Linked DNA regions of Saccharomyces cerevisiae S288C. Changing the gene in region 1 together with any one later gene gives a genetic interaction. Each region holds a gene or a part of one and is shown on either strand. Other genes may lie near its edges.

What was found.
Region 2: of SSM4 (region 1) and SAN1, changing one enhances a phenotype caused by changing the other (phenotypic enhancement), as found in Saccharomyces cerevisiae (2 studies listed by BioGRID).
Region 3: of SSM4 (region 1) and RNA14, a mutation in one rescues a mutant of the other (synthetic rescue), as found in Saccharomyces cerevisiae (2 studies listed by BioGRID).
Region 4: of SSM4 (region 1) and CBF2, a mutation in one rescues a mutant of the other (synthetic rescue), as found in Saccharomyces cerevisiae (2 studies listed by BioGRID).

Annotation. Positions count from the first base shown.
Region 1 is NC_001141.2:295,550-301,791, reverse strand, and holds SSM4 (E3 ubiquitin-protein ligase SSM4), read left to right. Parts: upstream 1-1,782; coding exon 1,783-5,742; downstream 5,743-6,242. Other genes in the region: EMA17 (Ema17p), read left to right, coding at 535-963; SUMO protease ULP2, read right to left, coding at 6,055-6,242. UniProt on the Saccharomyces cerevisiae protein: E3 ubiquitin-protein ligase which accepts ubiquitin specifically from endoplasmic reticulum-associated UBC6 and UBC7 E2 ligases, and transfers it to substrates promoting their degradation.
Region 2 is NC_001136.10:741,507-745,815, forward strand, and holds SAN1 (ubiquitin-protein ligase SAN1), read right to left. Parts: upstream 2,369-4,309; coding exon 536-2,368; downstream 1-535. Other genes in the region: PEX7 (Pex7p), read right to left, coding at 1-94; MKC7 (aspartyl protease), read right to left, coding at 2,805-4,309. UniProt on the Saccharomyces cerevisiae protein: Plays a specific role in mating-type regulation of yeast, by acting post-translationally to control the stability or activity of the SIR4 proteins.
Region 3 is NC_001145.3:390,733-395,314, reverse strand, and holds RNA14 (cleavage polyadenylation factor subunit RNA14), read right to left. Parts: upstream 2,561-4,582; coding exon 527-2,560; downstream 1-526. Other genes in the region: ARG7 (glutamate N-acetyltransferase), read left to right, coding at 1-261; SAM complex subunit SAM37, read left to right, coding at 2,800-3,783; SEN15 (Sen15p), read right to left, coding at 3,830-4,216. UniProt on the Saccharomyces cerevisiae protein: Component of the cleavage factor IA (CFIA) complex, which is involved in the endonucleolytic cleavage during polyadenylation-dependent pre-mRNA 3'-end formation and cooperates with the cleavage factor NAB4/CFIB and the cleavage and polyadenylation factor (CPF) complex.
Region 4 is NC_001139.9:765,607-770,854, forward strand, and holds CBF2 (Cbf2p), read left to right. Parts: upstream 1-1,822; coding exon 1,823-4,693; downstream 4,694-5,248. Other genes in the region: VPS62 (Vps62p), read left to right, coding at 4,963-5,248.

The DNA.
Region 1 (6,242 bases):
CAATTCCAATGGTGCGGTTCAATCAATTCACTGAGGTAGAATGGTGGACCATGATATTCAGAAATAGGTAAGTCCTGAGGTAATGATTAGGATTTAACTGTTGACTCTATTATAAGGTATACAGAATATACTGGCATAAAACAAGGATCATTAACACGCTAAACAGGGTGTTGTTTAATATCATGAATGCGCAAATAAGCCCTTTTTGCTGCAGCAAACTTTATGTACCAAGATCTTAAAGGGACTCGTTACCAAGATGCGAGTGAGTAGTCTATTATTAGAGAGTAGATCAGCTTCCGCCGCTTCCTTTTTTAACGGGAAAAAAAGTAGAAGCTGGGACAACTTTTTCGCTGCCAATAATAATTAAAAAGAAGGACCCTTTTTTCATTATAGGTATATTTGTTAAATATTTCCATTCCTAAGACAATCAACAACGCAGTTATGCAAACCATCAAAGAGGGCAAATGAACTATTCCCGCTCTTCGTAAGGATGCTGTATTACCGCCGTTAGCCATCAGAATTACTATAAAAACAATGCGGTTAATTTTCATTGCGAAAATGCTTCAATATTCATTTCTACCATTTTCCCCGTTCAATCTTTTGAATTTTGATAATAGTATAAGCGTAAGCTGGTTTATAACATACTCAGTGATCGTTTCCATTTGGGGGTTTGCTGTGTGGATTGAAGGAGCATATAGGAATAAGATTAATCTACAGCTTCCAAGATGTACGAAGATAAAATGCTCCCGCTACAATACGAGAATAAAATCCCCCAAGTGGTTCAACTGTAAAAATTGGATGCATTTTTTCCTATTATACCTTTTTCTAACCGCTTCTAACTTAATTGTTCAATTGGCCTATTTTTCAAAAGAAATGTGTAGTCAGGGTATAAACGTTCCTGGAACGAAGAAACCAGGTAATAGAGTTTATTTATCGGTTATCATACTAATGGGGAACGGGTGATAGAACTTTTACCAATGAAAAGAAATCAGCAGGCCATAATTTGGCTTTATTAAAATTAATAACATTATGGTGCTGTTGCGTTTATTAAAACAGACTAAAGCTGTTGGAATGAAATTCTAATGTTATCTATTTAGTAGTAATAGCATCACATGCGGTGTAAGAGGATGGCGTAAATTATGAGAAGCTGTCATCGAGGTTAGAGGAAGCTGAAATACAAAAATTGATAATGTAATAGGAGAATGAAACATATAAAACGGAATGAGGAATAATCGTAATATTAGTATATAGAAATATAGATTCCATTATGAGGATTCCTAGATCCTCGAGGAGAACTTCTAGTATATTCCGTATACATAATATTATAAGCCTTTATCAACAATGGAACCCCCAACAATTATCTCAAAATTCACCCATATCTTAATTAGTAACATGAATAGTACTAAACAGATGATATTTTAAAGTTTCATTCCAACAAGCATCTTAAATGTGCTATTACTTCCTAAAATAAGTAGTTTTTCCAACGAAATAGCCTTGTTGGCGCAATCGGTAGCGCGTATGACTCTTAATCATAAGGTTAGGGGTTCGAGCCCCCTACAGGGCTATCTTTTTACCATTTTCAATTCAATAGAAAAATTAAATCATTAGAGACGGAAAACTGGTTGAAAACGCATCGATTGAGGACATTGAAAAGATGATTATGACCGATCTATGAAGCCATAAGATTACGTTAAGAATAGTTCTTTGTTACTGATTTCAAAAACTGTTTTTTTAGCCAAGAGTACCACTAATTGAATCAAAGAGACTAGAAGTGTGAAAGTCATGGATGTTGATTCTGACGTTAATGTCTCCAGGTTAAGAGATGAACTGCATAAGGTGGCAAACGAGGAAACAGATACCGCCACTTTCAATGATGATGCGCCATCCGGCGCCACCTGCCGTATTTGTCGTGGAGAAGCTACTGAGGACAATCCTCTTTTCCATCCTTGTAAATGCAGGGGCTCAATTAAATACATGCATGAATCCTGTCTGTTGGAATGGGTAGCTTCAAAAAATATAGACATTTCAAAACCAGGCGCGGATGTTAAATGTGACATCTGTCACTATCCCATTCAATTCAAAACGATATATGCGGAAAACATGCCCGAAAAGATACCTTTTTCTTTACTACTATCCAAGAGCATCTTGACATTTTTCGAAAAAGCTCGTTTGGCTTTAACGATTGGTTTGGCCGCTGTACTATATATTATCGGTGTTCCTTTGGTATGGAACATGTTTGGAAAATTATACACCATGATGCTAGATGGATCATCCCCTTATCCTGGTGATTTCCTAAAGAGTTTGATTTATGGTTATGATCAGTCAGCAACTCCAGAATTAACCACGAGAGCAATTTTTTACCAACTTTTACAAAACCATTCGTTTACGTCTTTACAATTTATTATGATAGTGATACTACATATAGCATTGTACTTTCAATACGATATGATAGTAAGAGAGGATGTTTTCAGTAAAATGGTTTTCCACAAGATAGGTCCAAGATTATCTCCCAAGGACTTGAAATCACGTTTGAAGGAAAGATTCCCCATGATGGATGATAGAATGGTTGAATATTTAGCGAGGGAAATGAGAGCTCATGACGAAAATCGTCAAGAGCAAGGTCATGATAGACTGAACATGCCAGCCGCAGCAGCAGATAATAATAATAATGTTATTAATCCCAGAAACGATAACGTTCCACCTCAGGATCCTAATGACCATCGGAATTTTGAAAACCTTCGCCACGTAGACGAATTAGATCATGATGAGGCTACGGAAGAGCACGAGAACAACGACTCTGACAATAGTTTACCATCAGGTGATGATTCGTCACGAATTTTACCGGGGTCTTCAAGTGACAACGAAGAAGATGAAGAAGCAGAGGGGCAACAGCAACAGCAGCAACCAGAAGAAGAGGCAGATTACCGTGATCATATAGAGCCCAATCCGATTGACATGTGGGCAAATCGTCGTGCGCAAAATGAATTTGATGACCTAATCGCTGCTCAACAGAACGCAATAAACAGGCCCAACGCTCCGGTTTTCATCCCACCACCTGCCCAAAACAGAGCTGGAAATGTCGATCAAGACGAACAAGACTTTGGCGCAGCTGTTGGTGTGCCACCAGCACAGGCTAACCCAGACGATCAAGGACAAGGCCCTCTAGTGATAAATCTCAAATTGAAATTGTTGAATGTCATTGCTTATTTCATAATTGCCGTAGTTTTCACCGCAATATACCTGGCAATTTCCTATTTGTTTCCAACTTTTATTGGGTTCGGTTTGTTGAAAATTTATTTTGGTATATTTAAGGTTATTTTGCGTGGGTTGTGCCATCTTTACTACTTGTCTGGCGCTCATATAGCTTACAATGGGCTGACGAAACTGGTCCCTAAAGTAGATGTCGCGATGAGTTGGATTTCAGACCACTTAATTCATGACATCATTTATCTTTACAACGGCTACACTGAAAACACCATGAAGCACTCAATTTTCATCAGAGCTTTACCTGCTTTAACGACGTATCTAACCTCAGTCAGTATCGTTTGTGCTTCATCCAATCTTGTCTCGAGGGGTTATGGCCGTGAGAACGGAATGAGCAACCCTACTAGAAGGCTGATTTTCCAGATTTTATTTGCACTCAAATGCACTTTCAAGGTGTTCACTTTATTTTTCATCGAATTGGCTGGATTCCCCATTCTAGCTGGTGTAATGCTAGATTTCTCATTATTTTGCCCAATCCTGGCATCCAATAGTCGGATGCTTTGGGTTCCTTCAATATGCGCAATATGGCCTCCATTTTCCCTTTTCGTATACTGGACGATTGGTACTCTCTACATGTATTGGTTTGCCAAATATATCGGAATGATTAGGAAAAATATCATTAGACCAGGTGTTCTATTCTTTATCAGATCTCCAGAAGATCCTAATATTAAGATCTTGCATGATAGTTTAATTCATCCGATGAGTATTCAATTATCAAGGCTTTGCTTATCCATGTTTATTTATGCGATTTTTATTGTCTTAGGTTTTGGCTTCCATACTAGAATTTTTTTCCCATTCATGCTCAAATCGAACTTATTATCCGTTCCTGAAGCTTATAAACCAACATCAATTATTTCATGGAAGTTCAATACAATTTTGCTAACTTTATATTTTACGAAGAGGATCCTGGAGTCTAGCTCTTACGTTAAACCCTTATTGGAAAGGTATTGGAAAACAATTTTTAAGTTATGTTCAAGAAAATTACGTTTATCATCCTTTATCTTAGGTAAAGATACCCCAACAGAGAGAGGCCATATTGTTTACCGCAATTTGTTTTACAAGTACATTGCTGCCAAGAATGCAGAATGGTCAAACCAAGAACTTTTCACTAAACCAAAGACTCTAGAACAAGCAGAAGAATTGTTTGGGCAAGTTCGTGACGTTCATGCTTATTTTGTCCCCGATGGCGTTTTAATGCGTGTTCCTTCTTCTGATATAGTATCCAGAAATTATGTACAAACAATGTTTGTCCCCGTTACAAAGGATGATAAGCTGTTGAAACCATTAGATTTGGAAAGAATTAAAGAGAGAAACAAACGTGCTGCTGGTGAATTTGGTTATTTAGACGAACAAAACACGGAATATGATCAATATTATATCGTTTACGTCCCTCCAGATTTCCGTTTACGCTATATGACATTGCTTGGCCTGGTTTGGTTATTTGCTTCCATTTTAATGCTTGGTGTTACATTTATTAGTCAAGCTTTAATAAACTTTGTTTGTAGTTTCGGCTTTCTTCCAGTCGTAAAGCTATTGTTAGGTGAAAGAAATAAGGTCTATGTTGCATGGAAGGAACTCTCTGACATTAGCTACTCCTATTTGAACATTTATTATGTCTGTGTCGGATCTGTTTGTTTATCCAAGATTGCTAAGGATATTCTTCATTTTACAGAAGGCCAAAACACTCTCGATGAACATGCCGTTGACGAAAACGAAGTAGAGGAAGTGGAACACGATATACCAGAGAGAGATATCAACAATGCCCCTGTTAATAATATCAATAATGTGGAAGAGGGTCAAGGAATTTTCATGGCCATCTTTAACAGTATATTTGATAGTATGTTGGTGAAGTATAACCTGATGGTGTTTATAGCTATCATGATTGCGGTTATTAGAACTATGGTTTCGTGGGTCGTCTTAACCGATGGTATACTAGCCTGTTACAATTATCTCACCATCAGAGTGTTTGGCAATTCTTCATACACTATTGGTAATTCCAAATGGTTTAAATATGACGAGAGTTTGTTATTCGTCGTTTGGATCATTTCGTCAATGGTCAATTTCGGAACCGGATATAAGTCATTGAAACTATTTTTCAGAAACAGAAATACTAGTAAATTGAACTTCTTGAAAACAATGGCTTTGGAACTGTTTAAACAAGGTTTCCTGCACATGGTAATTTACGTCTTGCCGATTATTATTTTATCCTTAGTATTTTTACGTGATGTTTCTACAAAGCAGATTATCGATATTAGCCATGGATCCAGGAGTTTCACTTTATCGCTTAACGAATCATTCCCAACATGGACAAGGATGCAAGATATTTATTTCGGACTACTGATAGCATTAGAGTCATTTACGTTCTTTTTCCAAGCAACTGTGCTGTTCATTCAATGGTTCAAAAGTACTGTACAGAATGTAAAAGACGAGGTTTACACTAAGGGTAGAGCTTTAGAAAATTTACCAGATGAAAGTTAAAGGCGTTTTCTTCCTTACATTTAAAATGAATGCTAGCATATTTACATATATATATCTACATTAAGTTATATGTTTTTCCACTGTTTTATTTCTTATTGTTAGAATTATAGAAAAAAAATTTTTGTAAAACATTTCATTAGAAAAATTTACCATTCTGAATACGAAAGAACAAAATAAAAAATATGCCTATTTATGTGAGTATGTATATTACTAGTTATTTTATTGCTGTTACTATTATTATGCGAGAATGTTAAAAAAATAAAAATAAAGAGGAAAAGAATAAAAAATATAAAACTATGCGTGCGAGTGCTTTCAAGGGTCTTCATCTTCCAAGAGTATAGGATTATCTCTGCCCTCATCCCAAACAGAATCTTGAGACTGGTTATTTTCATCTCCATAATTAGAGAGAAGTTGTGCATTTGATCCCTTGCTTGTCGCGCTGGTTCTTGGAATACCCCTAGTTGGACTACTAAATGCCACATCATCAATATCAACCAACT
Region 2 (4,309 bases), on another chromosome or scaffold:
AGTTTGAACCAGCAGCTACCGCGAGCCTGTTATCGAAAAAGGGAGAATACTGGACACCGTACCCACTAAAACCTTGCATATGATATCTGAGCATGTTGTATAAATTATGCAAAAAGTTAGATGATAGTCCGTTAACAATATGAGATCTCTGCACTTTTCGAGCGTCGAATTCCAAATCAGAAAGAAAACGATTTCGACCTCCGGTAAAAGATTTTATGGTAAGAAAACACAGTTTGTGTTCCACAGTTCTTAAAAGTGTTTTCACCTTTTACTGTTTTGCGAAACGACTTTTCAGAGGAGGTTATGTCGGTGGTTTAATTTCTCGGCCTTCATATTTACTTGCTGGAGACATGCAAATTTCTGATTAACAATGATTATAGAACTTTAAGTAGAAGTAAAGAAAAATAAGTATATGATATATATATATAAAGATGCAGATAAAAAAAAGGTAAAAGGAGTAGAAAATAATGTCTGAAAATGGATGACTGCCAATAGGACATATTTTCATATTAACATACTTCAGAAGCGGTATTGTTTATTGTGATGATCGTTGCTCATTGTTATCATTAGGGACGTCGTTATGAATGGTGGTGTCCGAACTGCTTGAACCTTGGCCTTGAGAGGGATTTTCGTCTGTAGGAGGAAAGGCAGCAGAATTGTTGTTGCGTAGTTCGACGGTAGTAACATCACCATTTTGATTTCTATAACTGGCAACACCGGAGGAAAACAAGTTATTTCTGTTGTTCTCACCAGTACTTCCACCTCGTTGTTGATCATTGCTATGGTTATTGTCGTTATTGTTGTCTCTTGAGCCATTCGTAAAATGGCCTGTTAATCGTGAAATATTTTCCAAAAAGGAACTTCCTTGCGTTGTATCAGAGGACGATGAGTCATTACGTCCTTGGTTGTGAACAGTTTGTGCTCCGGGTGCTGTTGTTGCAGAGGTATCAGAAGTTCCCCTCTGAGCAACGTTGAATATGTGATCCAAAACGGCTCTTAGTCTGTTGTGGTGAGGGTCTGTAGCGTCACTACTAGTGTTATTTGAGTTTGGACCGTTCGCTGCTGATGGGCTTGCCGAAGAATCAGAAGCGGAAGGATTCGGATTTGGACTGTGGAATTGGAACAAAGTCAAAGGGATGGGAACCCAGCGCGGACTTTGATTGTTATTCGAACCACCAGAATTAGAGGGTGGATTTTGAGTAGTTGAGCTCGGCCCGTTGACACCGTTTCTATCGCTATCATTAGGCGGTAAACGGACTGGATTGTGTAAAGGTTGGCCGTTTTGAGGCACTAAAAAAAAGCCTGTTCTTGATAACATCTGTTCGCCAGAACTTGCATTTCCGATAGTGGGAACCGTTGTATTGGACGTGTTTTCGGATGGGGCGGAACTATTTTCGTTAGTGCTATTCACTGCAGTTGGGTCGTATAAAACTCGTCTAATACGTTCAAAAGCAGCTTCGTTAGCTGCTACTTCATCCGTATCTTGTTGGGCTGCACGTTGAACACCTACAGATTCGCTGATCTTTTGTCTACAAAGGGGACAAGAATTTTCTAATCTTGACCATTTGTAGATACATTCCCTCCCAAAAATGTGGCCACAAGGTAACTTGATTGGTGAGTGTTTGTAGCTTGGATTTGTTTCTTCATCATTGAGAGTGCGTTGTTGTTCAGTGAGAGGAATAGAAGGCGGTTCAACAACCGTAGCATTTGTAATCGATGGGTTACTGTCATTATCGGCGGTTGTGCGTAGGGGCGCACCTTCATTATCCTTCCTTTTTTTTGTTCCTTCAGATTCCTCCTCATTTTCAGAATCCCTTTTTCTTTTTGCTTTAGTTGAATCAACTTCATCTTCATATTCGTCATAACATATACTACATAAGGGCCCTTCGGCCTTGGGTAGATCAGAAACTTGCAGAACGGGGAGCTTATCAAACTCATCCTTTGATATTCCTTTTGGTCTATTTAATAGTCTGTTGAATCTCTCCATTGCAAGCTGAGCAGCAACAGATATGAAGCTGTTCAAACGGTCTTGTGGAGTAGACGCAGGAACATCACGAAAAGATAAAACAAGAGCACCGTCGGGTTGATGGCCCCCATTTCCGATGCCAAAGCTGGGCCCAGTACCGTTGGCAATCGTGCTACCGGATGCTGCGCTGTTGTTTTCGTTATTATCATTATTAGATATATTGCTCAAATGTGCTAATCTCTCCGGAGTGAAATAGGAATACTGAATGGAAACGGTTATGTTTCTTGTTTGCTCAGCACCACCATTGAGTGGACCGGAAGCTGCATTTGAATTATTATTATTTTCAGCATTATTTGGTGATGTATTTGTGCCTCTGTTTTGTTCTTGACCACTTTCACTCATAATGAACAAAAGCTGAGGTTACAAGACTATGAGAGAAAACAAAGGGGAAAAAAGGGAGAAACGAACTATCCTGAAATGCTAAATAATTTCTATCTATAGTAGCTTCACTAGAGGATATATATGATAAACTATATTTCCTTCAATATATAGTTTTTAGCTATTATTTCATTATTGATTTGGTGATACTAATGCAATGTAGTTATATGTAAAAAATTCTTTCATATTTTTTGACAATGGCAGATAGAATGTTTTACCCGGCTTTTTGCGTCGAAGTATATAATTGTTGATTAAGAAGCCAGTAACAATAAAAAAGAACAGTATTATTTATTTTACGTTAAAAGACGCTTTTCTTTCAAGTAATGTACAATGTTATACCTCCAGATATACATTGCAACTTTTAAAGTCTAGTAAATGCTTATATGGAGGGAGGGATTTATCAAATGTGATGAAAAATAGCTGTAATGAACCTGGCGAAAAATGGAGGATTCAGATTGTGTCCTCCGTTTTCTTTTCTCGTAGATGAACTTGAGGTGGGAGATAACATTCCTGTTGAGGAAGTACTTGAGGTAGATTTTGAAATAGAGAGAGCTGTCGTACTTGTTTGGGTTTTTTGGCCTTTGGAGCTGGAAGAACTTGTTGCCGAATGAGACGTGGAAGCAAAGTACGATATACTGGAGTTAGCTGCCGTGGAAAACATGTTGCCGCCGGAGACAATACTTTCATATGTAGACCAAGTGCTTGAGTAACCAGGTGCTTTAAGAGCACTTGGAACCGCGCTCTCTATAATCTCAATGTATTCACCGTCGTCGCTGAAGTTAGCCTGAGCCATTGATATCTCCATATTGTCCAGATCATATACCACGTAAGTATTAGCTAAGAAGTTATCACCCAAAATAATGGTCGGATCTGACTGCGGTGCAATACCTAGTATACAAATGTTTGAACGACTATCTGTGACTAGCTGAAAATCGCTTAACCAATTAGAAAGATAGAATCCACCAAAATCAAAGATGATGCTACTCTCTTCTTCCATCTCTTTGATACAATCCATTATGTAGTAACCATATGCAGAAGAGTAAGTAGCTCCGACCTGGTCGGCAAGCATTTTTACCAGCTCAGTTGGCATATACGATATGGTCGTACCTGAATCTAGCAGGACTGGGATCTTTGTAGTGGTTAGGGTTGTCAGATTGTCTTCTTTATCCCCTTTCGACGTACCTAATCCTTGTAAAGTGACTTGGAATTGAATTGGATCCTTGTAGCCGCGATGCTGCAAAGTATTAATGATGGGAATTGTGTATAGGTCGCCCGCATATTTTCCATGATCCACAGCGCCAAACAAAATGGTACCATGTTTCGAATCAGAATCATTTGCGAATAAAGAATAAGCTGTTGATTTTATTACACCCGAATTCTTTAGCACCATCGGAAAGTTATTGTAAGTGTAGCTTTTTTGTACAGAGCTGAGAGAAACACCAGAATAAGTTGACTCCAAGCCAGGCAAACCAATACCCAAGACACCAACTGTTGAGTTTGTTTCGTTTGCTACAGCAAATGATAAACCCGTAATGTTCAAATCGTTCAAGCTCAATTGATCATGGCCCCAGGTACCAGATGCAAAAGTCGTATCACCATAGGCGATCGAAAATTCTGTATTATTGGAGTTGAATGTAGACGACTTAGAGGTATTAAATGTCCCGTATGTAGCGCAGTCAATTAACTGTGATGTAGAAGCTGTACTATCAAAAGTAGCAGTGGCTTCGCTGGTAACTATAGTGGTGTCGTAGCTAATTTCAGTAAACACACTCTCAACCACGCTAGCCAAAGCATCCTTGTTTACTTGTTTAAAGGATGAGCCAGTGGTATCCTTCTTTTTAGTGGAACAGTATGGGTTGTCTGAACCCGTGACCCATAGATCAGAAGAACCAGTGTCGACAAGCA
Region 3 (4,582 bases), on another chromosome or scaffold:
CTGAATGACTTAAAATCTCTAGATGTCAACAAAATTAATGTTAGCTTTATTGCTACCGACAATTCAGAACCTCGTGAGCTGAAGCTTGTCGCTAATGGTGTGCCACAATTGGAGATCGATGAAACAAGGGCTTCTGAAATATTGGCTTTGAATGATTTGGAAGTGTCTGTCGACTTGGGAACCGGTGATCAGGCAGCACAATTTTGGACTTGTGATTTATCACATGAATATGTAACAATTAACGGTGATTACCGTTCATAAATTCATGTATATTTTGTTCAATCTTTCTTTTATAAGCATGGTTATATAAACGCACAGAAACAGAGTGTTTCCTGTACCTTCTGAATGAGTTTGGCTATTGCCATATTTTTGAAAGAATTAACTATTTCCGTTTTTATTTATGTACGAGGCACCTTAACTATCCTGTCACATCGTTTTTTTTTTACTTAATTACATACAGAGGTTCGCCTATTATAATAGATGTGTTGGTATAAATATTCATATATACCTATTTATTAACGTAATGTTAACCTGACTTGGTGCTCTCAACTGTTGGAATCTCTACTTGATCATTTAAAAAATTCACCAATTTCTGCGCATCGAGTAAATTTGTATTAAAATATTGACGTTTTGGTATAACGCTCAATAAATCAAGAACCTCTGTTGGAAGCTCTGAGTCTCTTTTGAATTTCTTATTGGAGAAGTTTCCATTGTTTCCAGTTTCCTCCATTAGTCTCTTTCTATCTGACGAACTCATATTGTAAGAGCCATGATGGCCATCCCCGTTTCCAGAAGAAAAGTAACTGTCTTCTTCCTCATTATACATATAAGTTAACTCTAATTTCTTTATTAAGTTGGAGTTTTGAATTTGATAACGACTTGTGAAAACTTCAATCAAATTTTCTTGGGGGAACCGTTCGAAAAATCTTTTCTCTAGAGAATAAACGTTGTTTAAGTTACCGAATTTCGATTCATAACTTATCATTTTCTTGTATATTTCCTTCAGCTGGGTTAAATCTTGCACTTTTTCCACTGATGTTTCAAATAAGGTTTTGATCTGCGAATCCTTATTTAAAAATATTAAAAAATCTAAGTATTTGTTGATATAAACTCCATCGTTTTGGAAGTATTTTAAACCCAATTCTAAAACCTTAAAAGCAGTCTTATAATCGTTTTGATTTTGAAATTCTAAATATGCATTTTCCACGTAGACGTCATGTGTTAATATACGCTTCAGTTTACGACATTTACCAAATACAGTACGTGCTGCGGATAGTCCTGATATTCTTTTCATCGTATTCATATACACGCAAAACACGAATGTTAATTTTTCCCTCTGTTTGTATAGCAGCTCTTGTTCATACTCTGTGTTATTATCTTCACCCGAATTTACATCGGAGGCGATCTTTTTATACTGCGATAGTAAAGTTTGAGTGCACTTGTCAAAACAGTTAGAAACACTTTCAGAATCATTATCCAGTTCGTAGCATTCGGATAACTTGAATGTAAGAGAAGGTGAGTCGGGATTAGCTAATAACGCAGTATATAAGATATTTTGTCGATCCGAATTTTCAGATATATACATTGAATAATCGTACCACATTTCAGCAGAAAATATCATGTATTGAATACCTTGTTTATAAACGTAACTGATTCTTTGTGATAGCATATCTTCACTAAGCATCAACTTATTCTCCCTTTCCCATTTTATCCAATTCAACCAAATCTGTAACTGCTGAATGTTTGAGTCTGAGGTACCTGGTTGTGGTATGTTTTTCTTGTTTGCTGTGCGCAGATTAATTGGAGATGCCCTTTTCAATCCATTAGTAACGTTCAACCATTCCTGGTATAAGGAACGGGCTTTCATGTATTCGGCTGATAACTCGCCAATAAATTTTCTGGCTGTTAGGGAATTTATTTCTTGTTCCCATTGAGTGTATCTATTCCACATTTTTTCTAGATTATCAAAAGGAACACATAGCATTTTCTTGTAGAATTCTCTGAGCATGTCAATTCGCTGTTGCTCCTCCCATTTGTTGAATGGCTTCCACTGCTCTAAAAAATTGAGATATTCGTTCCAAAAAGAAGATGATTTGGGTTCAAAAATTGCACACTTTTGCATAACTAGTTGGAATGCCTTGACAATAACAGCTCTCGCCTCTTGTCCACCAGTAATTAAGTTGTTTTTTCTGCGTATGTAGTCCAAATATGTTGACCAAAGAGATAGGTCATTATTTTCCAACTTGCCAGAAAGACATTGAGCCAAAATCTTCTCAACAGTCTCAAATTCATCTCTTGCCAATTCACCCTTTAGTTGCAAAGTCCACGCAGGTGAATAAAACGGGAATGTGTTATGAAATTGCTCGTATACTTCTCTCACCTTAGCGTATGACTCTTGAGTTTCCAAATATTGAATAAGCTGGAAGTATGATAAAATATTCGTGGGATTGTCTTTAATCCTTTCTCTAAGTCGTAGTTCATCTCCATGTATATTGTCACTAGGCTCTGCGACTTTGTCCGCAGAGGGATATAGTAAATCAGGAGTCGTAGAGCTGGACATATCTCTTGTTTGACTCTCCAGTTTGGCCTTTTATTTCGTTGTAGAATACTCTTTCATCACACAAGCTACACTTTTCTTCTTAATTATTACAAGGTAACCGACAATTTTGTCACGATTGTTATCATTTTAAACGAAGTGGGAAATGTAATAAGAAATAAGCTATTTAGAATGGCTACTATTTAATGCTGGAATTTGTATTTTTCAAATAAACGCAAAGCAAGGCTATTATCGAGTCAGTAATGGTTAAAGGTAGTGTGCATTTATGGGGAAAGGATGGCAAAGCATCGTTGATTTCAGTGGACAGCATTGCGCTTGTATGGTTTATCAAGTTATGTACTTCAGAAGAGGCAAAGAGTATGGTTGCGGGATTGCAGATCGTATTCTCAAACAATACAGACCTATCATCAGATGGAAAACTACCAGTGTTAATTTTAGATAATGGAACGAAAGTATCTGGTTACGTGAACATCGTACAATTCTTACATAAAAATATATGTACTAGCAAATATGAGAAAGGTACGGATTATGAAGAAGATTTAGCAATTGTTAGAAAAAAGGATCGCCTTTTAGAGTATTCCCTATTGAATTATGTTGACGTTGAAATTTCCAGACTAACGGACTACCAGCTCTTTTTGAACACCAAAAATTACAATGAATATACCAAGAAGTTGTTTTCAAAATTGCTATATTTTCCTATGTGGTATAATACGCCATTGCAACTAAGATCGCAAGCACGTGAAAATTGTGAGGAGATTATAGGCTCACTGACCCTTGAGGATGATGAAGAATTTGTAGAAAGTAAAGCAATGGAGTCAGCCTCGCAACTAGCACAATCAAAGACCTTCAAAATTGCGCATAAGAACAAAATTAAGGGTAAGCAAGAGCTACAACAGGTGAAATATAATCTTCAATTTGATAATAGACTACAGAGTTGCGTCAGCAATTGGTTGGCTGCCCGTAAAAAACTGGATGATTCTGTAATACTTTCCTCCGACCTTCTTTTCCTTGCAAATCTTTACGTTCAGTTAGGCCTACCTGATGGTAACCGCATCCGTTCAAAACTGGAACAAACCTTTGGAAGTGAATTATTGAATAGTATGTCGAACAAAATTGATGACTTCGTCCATAGACCAAGTAATAACTTGGAGCAAAGAGATCCTCAATTTAGAGAGCAAGGAAACGTTGTGATGTCATTATATAATTTAGCCTGTAAATACATATAATAAAAATAAACAAAATAATGCAGAAAGGTGTCTTTAAGTTCATTTTTCAATTTCTTTTCGGTTTTCGTACTCCTTTATAAACGAAGTAATAAACAATTGTACCATCATCGTTAATTATGGCCAGCAGTATTCTTTCAGTAGATGGACTACATAAGTGAGTAAATGTCTGGCTCAAGCATTCCAAAGTGAGAAAATTCTCTTTGTACTGTGACATATTGATGGGTAATATGAACTCTAGCGGGCGTGGCGATGACAAGCTATTTTCATGCTCTGTGTCTACATCGTTGCTCAGCTTGTGAGGCGGACGACCTCTCAGTAATCTCAGGCTATTTCCCTTCCATGATAAATCGTCTTGTAAAATTTCCACTTCCGTCCACATTTGGAAATAGAGTAAATTATTTTTTACTAGAGATATGATATCTGTCGTTGCCATTCTTATTTTCCTCAACCTCCTCGACGTAATTTCTCTTCGACAATTTATTATATCTTTCATATATTTCTGATGACTTTTTCATTTTCACTTTTTTTCAACCCATAACGGCTTTTTGTTCAAAAGAAACTGATCATGTCATCGATTAAAAGTAAAAGTATGCACATCAGCCTCGTGACAGATGAGGATCTCATGTCAAAAACCGCCAAGAAGCATGCATTATTGAATTTGAAACGTGGTAGATTATTAAGTATATGTCTATGTAATATTAAGTAAGACAAGGGCATTCACTTTACATGCAAATGCATTTGGAACCCTTGACCGAAAAAAAAAAAACAGGTTAACCGCAAAATACATGATCTTCCTTTA
Region 4 (5,248 bases), on another chromosome or scaffold:
ATTTGTTTTGTGTATTATTTTTGTGATTAGTTATTAGATGGAATTAAAGGAAAAATATCAATGGACAAAAAATATTAGGGTGTAGAAATAAAGAATAATAGCAGGGCTTTGATAAAAGAATGTATCAATTACTTTTTGAAATTAAAGTTAAAATTAAAATTCAAACCGAAAAAAAAAAAAAATTAAATATTAAACTTGATATAGTAGGAGAAGGAAGTTGTATATTGTTCTCTATAAACACAAACAATAAAATGATATATTTGTTTTCTTATTTCTTCTTGATGTCTTCAGGAAAAAAGAACATAAACAAATACAAAAAAATCCTAGTACGAAACCTCAAAAGGGTGTATGCGCAATGTATATATATAGCAAGAAAAAAAAATAAACAGTGGCATTACAGTGCATGCGGATGGCAGTGTTCTTCGGTGGCTTTTTCGAAAAACCTAGAATGCGTTTAAAAGACTCAGACACCTAAGCAGAATATGCGAATGACTCGTTCAGTAAAATGCGACGCGACAGTTTGTTTTCGTTCTGCGCTGCTGTGTTCTCTATTCTTTTGAGATGAATTTAACGGCTATGGAATCATCTCGAGAAATCGGTTCTAGTAAGGCACCAAGACATTATGTCCCTCGGGAGGAGAAGGGCGCACGCGTCAGGCTTCCACGACGTCCGCCGTGCATGCGCTCTCGCATTTTTAAGGTTTAGTGCGGCAGGCGACTGCGCTGCGGCCAGCCCGTGAGACCACCCGAGGGAATTTGAGTAAGCGCGCCCATTGCGGGGTTTTTGCGGTTTGCGCTGTTTTCCGCACGAGGTTTCTCCGGACACAGTTAAGCAGTATATTTCACTCGGAAGCGCCGGAAAATTTTTTTAAGCGCAAATATATTCAGGTAAGCAGCAAAAAAATACTTTTTCCGGTGGCCCGTGATGTGTTTGTAACAGCTTCTGCGGTACTTTGGGCGGCTAAATGGCAAATAGATCAGGGGAAGGGTTTTTGCATAGGTACAAAATAACCGGATTTTGGGTAAGATTCGATCTTCGGCACTTGTGGCGAAGTAAAAGTGTTGAAAAAGTTCGCGTAATAATAGTGTTAGCCGTTTCAGCTTCGTCCATAAAGTACATATCCACAACTCTCATGGTGCGAAGTACAAACATTGAACGGCAGCTGTCTTGCTCAGCTAGTGGTATGTAAGCAGCCGCATTCTATTTTTATTTTCGTGCCTTTAAGTGTTAAAACCTGAGGCAGATTTTTTATTTTTTTGCATTCCCCTTCCTTTTTGCCGTAATGGCGCATTCAGTGCTGATATATTTATACTTCAATGGTGCTTCTCCTTACTTTTCTTATAGAAATAAACATCAAAACATGAACCTCAAATTCATCCGAAAATGACTGCGGCCACTCACCTTGCTTCTTCCCCACAAATATTTGTGTTCTCTGCTTTCTTTGTGTGTACTTTGTCTTGCTCTATATAACTTTCTCTCTGCTGCTGAGTCTTCAAATAGGTAGATTGATGCCTGTGGACTTTTATACAAAGGAGTTTGAGTGATTACATTCAAGATAAACGTGAAAAGTTATTATTATATCTTATGCTAAACAACAGTGTAATTGCGTTTGTTAAGCACAATCTCAAAATAATGCGCTAACAGTGGTGCGCATACTGCCATTTGTTATGGGCTATAATCGGATAGTGTATTCTTCTTGTTTGGTTATGTATCTCAACATCCAGGTATCCGTTACCCCACTTTGATACCAGGAACCTTTCGCGTTTTCTCTCGCTTTTATTTTTTTACCGCATACAAACAAACAAGAAAAAGTAGAAAACATATGAGATCATCGATTTTGTTTCTACTAAAATTGATGAAAATTATGGATGTTCAGCAACAGCAAGAAGCTATGTCATCAGAAGATAGGTTTCAGGAACTGGTGGACTCCCTAAAGCCAAGAACTGCGCATCAGTACAAGACCTACTATACTAAGTACATACAATGGTGTCAGCTCAATCAAATTATACCGACACCGGAGGACAATTCTGTAAATAGCGTCCCCTATAAAGACCTGCCAATATCTGCTGAACTGATACATTGGTTTTTGTTAGATACATTAATAACCGATGATAAGCCTGGAGAGAAAAGAGAAGAGACTGAAGATCTTGATGAGGAGGAGGAGAATTCATTCAAGATCGCTACGTTGAAGAAAATTATAGGCAGTCTCAATTTTTTGTCAAAATTGTGCAAAGTTCATGAAAATCCAAATGCTAATATAGACACAAAATACCTGGAGTCAGTCACCAAGCTTCATACCCATTGGATAGATTCACAAAAGGCAATCACCACTAATGAAACAAATAACACAAATACTCAAGTGCTGTGTCCACCATTATTGAAAGTGTCTTTGAATTTATGGAACCCAGAAACTAACCATCTCTCTGAGAAATTTTTTAAAACCTGTTCTGAAAAATTAAGATTCCTGGTGGATTTTCAATTAAGAAGTTATTTGAACCTTTCATTTGAAGAAAGATCAAAGATACGATTTGGTTCCCTCAAGCTCGGTAAAAGGGACAGAGACGCTATAATTTATCATAAAGTAACTCATTCGGCGGAAAAAAAAGATACGCCGGGCCACCATCAACTCCTTGCATTATTACCCCAAGATTGTCCATTTATCTGCCCTCAAACTACATTAGCTGCATATTTGTATTTAAGGTTCTATGGTATACCATCTGTTTCGAAAGGGGATGGCTTTCCCAATTTGAACGCTGATGAAAATGGCTCACTTTTACAAGATATTCCCATACTAAGAGGCAAATCACTGACAACTTATCCCAGAGAGGAAACATTTAGTAATTATTATACAACCGTGTTTAGGTATTGCCACTTACCTTATAAAAGAAGAGAATATTTCAACAAATGTAACCTTGTTTACCCAACTTGGGATGAAGACACTTTTAGAACATTTTTCAATGAAGAAAACCATGGAAATTGGTTAGAACAACCTGAGGCCTTTGCGTTCCCTGACAAAATACCGTTCGACTTCAAGAAAATCATGAACTTCAAATCGCCCTACACTTCGTATTCTACAAACGCTAAAAAGGACCCTTTTCCGCCTCCAAAGGATTTATTAGTTCAAATATTTCCGGAGATTGATGAATATAAAAGACATGATTATGAAGGTTTGTCTCAGAATTCAAGGGATTTTCTAGATTTAATGGAAGTTTTACGAGAAAGATTTTTGAGCAATCTACCATGGATTTACAAATTCTTTCCTAATCATGATATATTCCAGGACCCCATTTTTGGAAATTCCGATTTTCAATCATACTTCAATGACAAAACTATACATTCAAAGGGTTCACCCATTTTATCATTCGATATACTACCAGGCTTTAATAAAATCTATAAGAATAAGACAAATTTTTACTCACTCTTAATAGAAAGGCCTTCGCAGTTGACATTTGCTTCGAGTCATAATCCAGATACACACCCCACTCAAAAACAAGAATCTGAGGGGCCATTACAAATGAGTCAACTTGATACTACACAATTAAATGAATTATTGAAGCAACAGAGTTTCGAATATGTGCAGTTCCAAACACTTTCTAATTTCCAAATTTTATTATCGGTATTCAATAAAATTTTTGAGAAATTGGAGATGAAAAAATCTTCAAGAGGCTATATTTTACATCAGCTTAATTTATTCAAAATTACCTTGGATGAAAGAATTAAGAAATCTAAGATTGACGATGCCGATAAATTTATACGTGATAATCAGCCCATTAAAAAAGAAGAAAACATTGTGAATGAAGATGGGCCTAACACATCAAGGCGGACAAAGAGGCCGAAGCAAATTAGATTACTCTCAATTGCGGATTCCTCCGACGAATCCTCCACGGAGGATTCAAATGTATTCAAAAAGGACGGTGAATCCATCGAAGATGGCGCATATGGAGAAAATGAAGATGAGAATGACTCTGAGATGCAAGAGCAGTTAAAATCTATGATAAACGAACTTATAAACTCCAAAATAAGCACTTTTTTACGGGACCAAATGGATCAATTTGAATTGAAAATAAACGCTTTATTAGATAAAATTCTTGAAGAAAAAGTCACTCGTATTATCGAGCAAAAACTTGGTTCACACACGGGGAAGTTTTCAACGTTGAAGAGGCCACAACTATACATGACGGAAGAACACAATGTTGGATTTGATATGGAAGTTCCTAAAAAACTTAGGACCAGTGGTAAGTACGCAGAGACTGTGAAAGATAATGATGATCATCAAGCCATGTCAACTACTGCATCGCCGTCTCCTGAGCAAGATCAAGAAGCAAAGAGCTATACTGACGAACAAGAATTTATGCTGGACAAATCCATAGACAGCATAGAGGGAATCATTCTTGAATGGTTCACCCCAAACGCTAAGTACGCCAACCAATGCGTGCATTCAATGAACAAATCAGGTAACAAGTCGTGGAGAGCTAATTGTGAAGCTTTATACAAGGAAAGAAAATCAATTGTTGAATTCTATATTTATTTGGTAAATCATGAGAGTCTCGACAGATACAAAGCAGTTGATATTTGCGAAAAATTACGAGATCAGAACGAAGGTTCATTTTCGCGCTTGGCAAAGTTCCTAAGGAAGTGGAGGCATGACCATCAAAATTCATTTGATGGTCTGTTAGTATATCTATCTAACTGAGGGAGCTTCGAAGTTTAAACTGTTTCGTATAGGGATACCGACATGTATGTTTATAATATAATGATGTTTACTATGAGAAAAAGGCTGCCGGAATATCAACGGTTGCTGTGGTGAGAAAATCGGGTAACACCTATAGGGGTTCCATCACTTCAGATGCCTTGAACTTTGAAATCTATACGAATATAGGAAGACTGAGTTGGTAGACCTGGTAAGATAGAAGAGGAAGAAGGCTTCTTTATTACCGCAACTAAGAATAAACTTATAGCTTCATGCGAATCTCAAAAAATAGTCATAAGCGGCAAAGAACGAGGCTATATTTCCTCGTTACATTTATTATTTATTCGATAATACCCTGCCGTGCGGTACTCGTGCCTTGGCTGGATGATGACCCATTTGAAGCAACGCTTCTAGAAATGGGGGATGAACCATGGAGTAAGGACATCCTTTCAAGCACACCTCCGTTACATCCATCTGAAGTTACCGAGGATAACAAAAGCTTAAAACAAAGGGGCAATGTACCGCAATATGTCATCGATAATAGCCCTCTGCTCCATT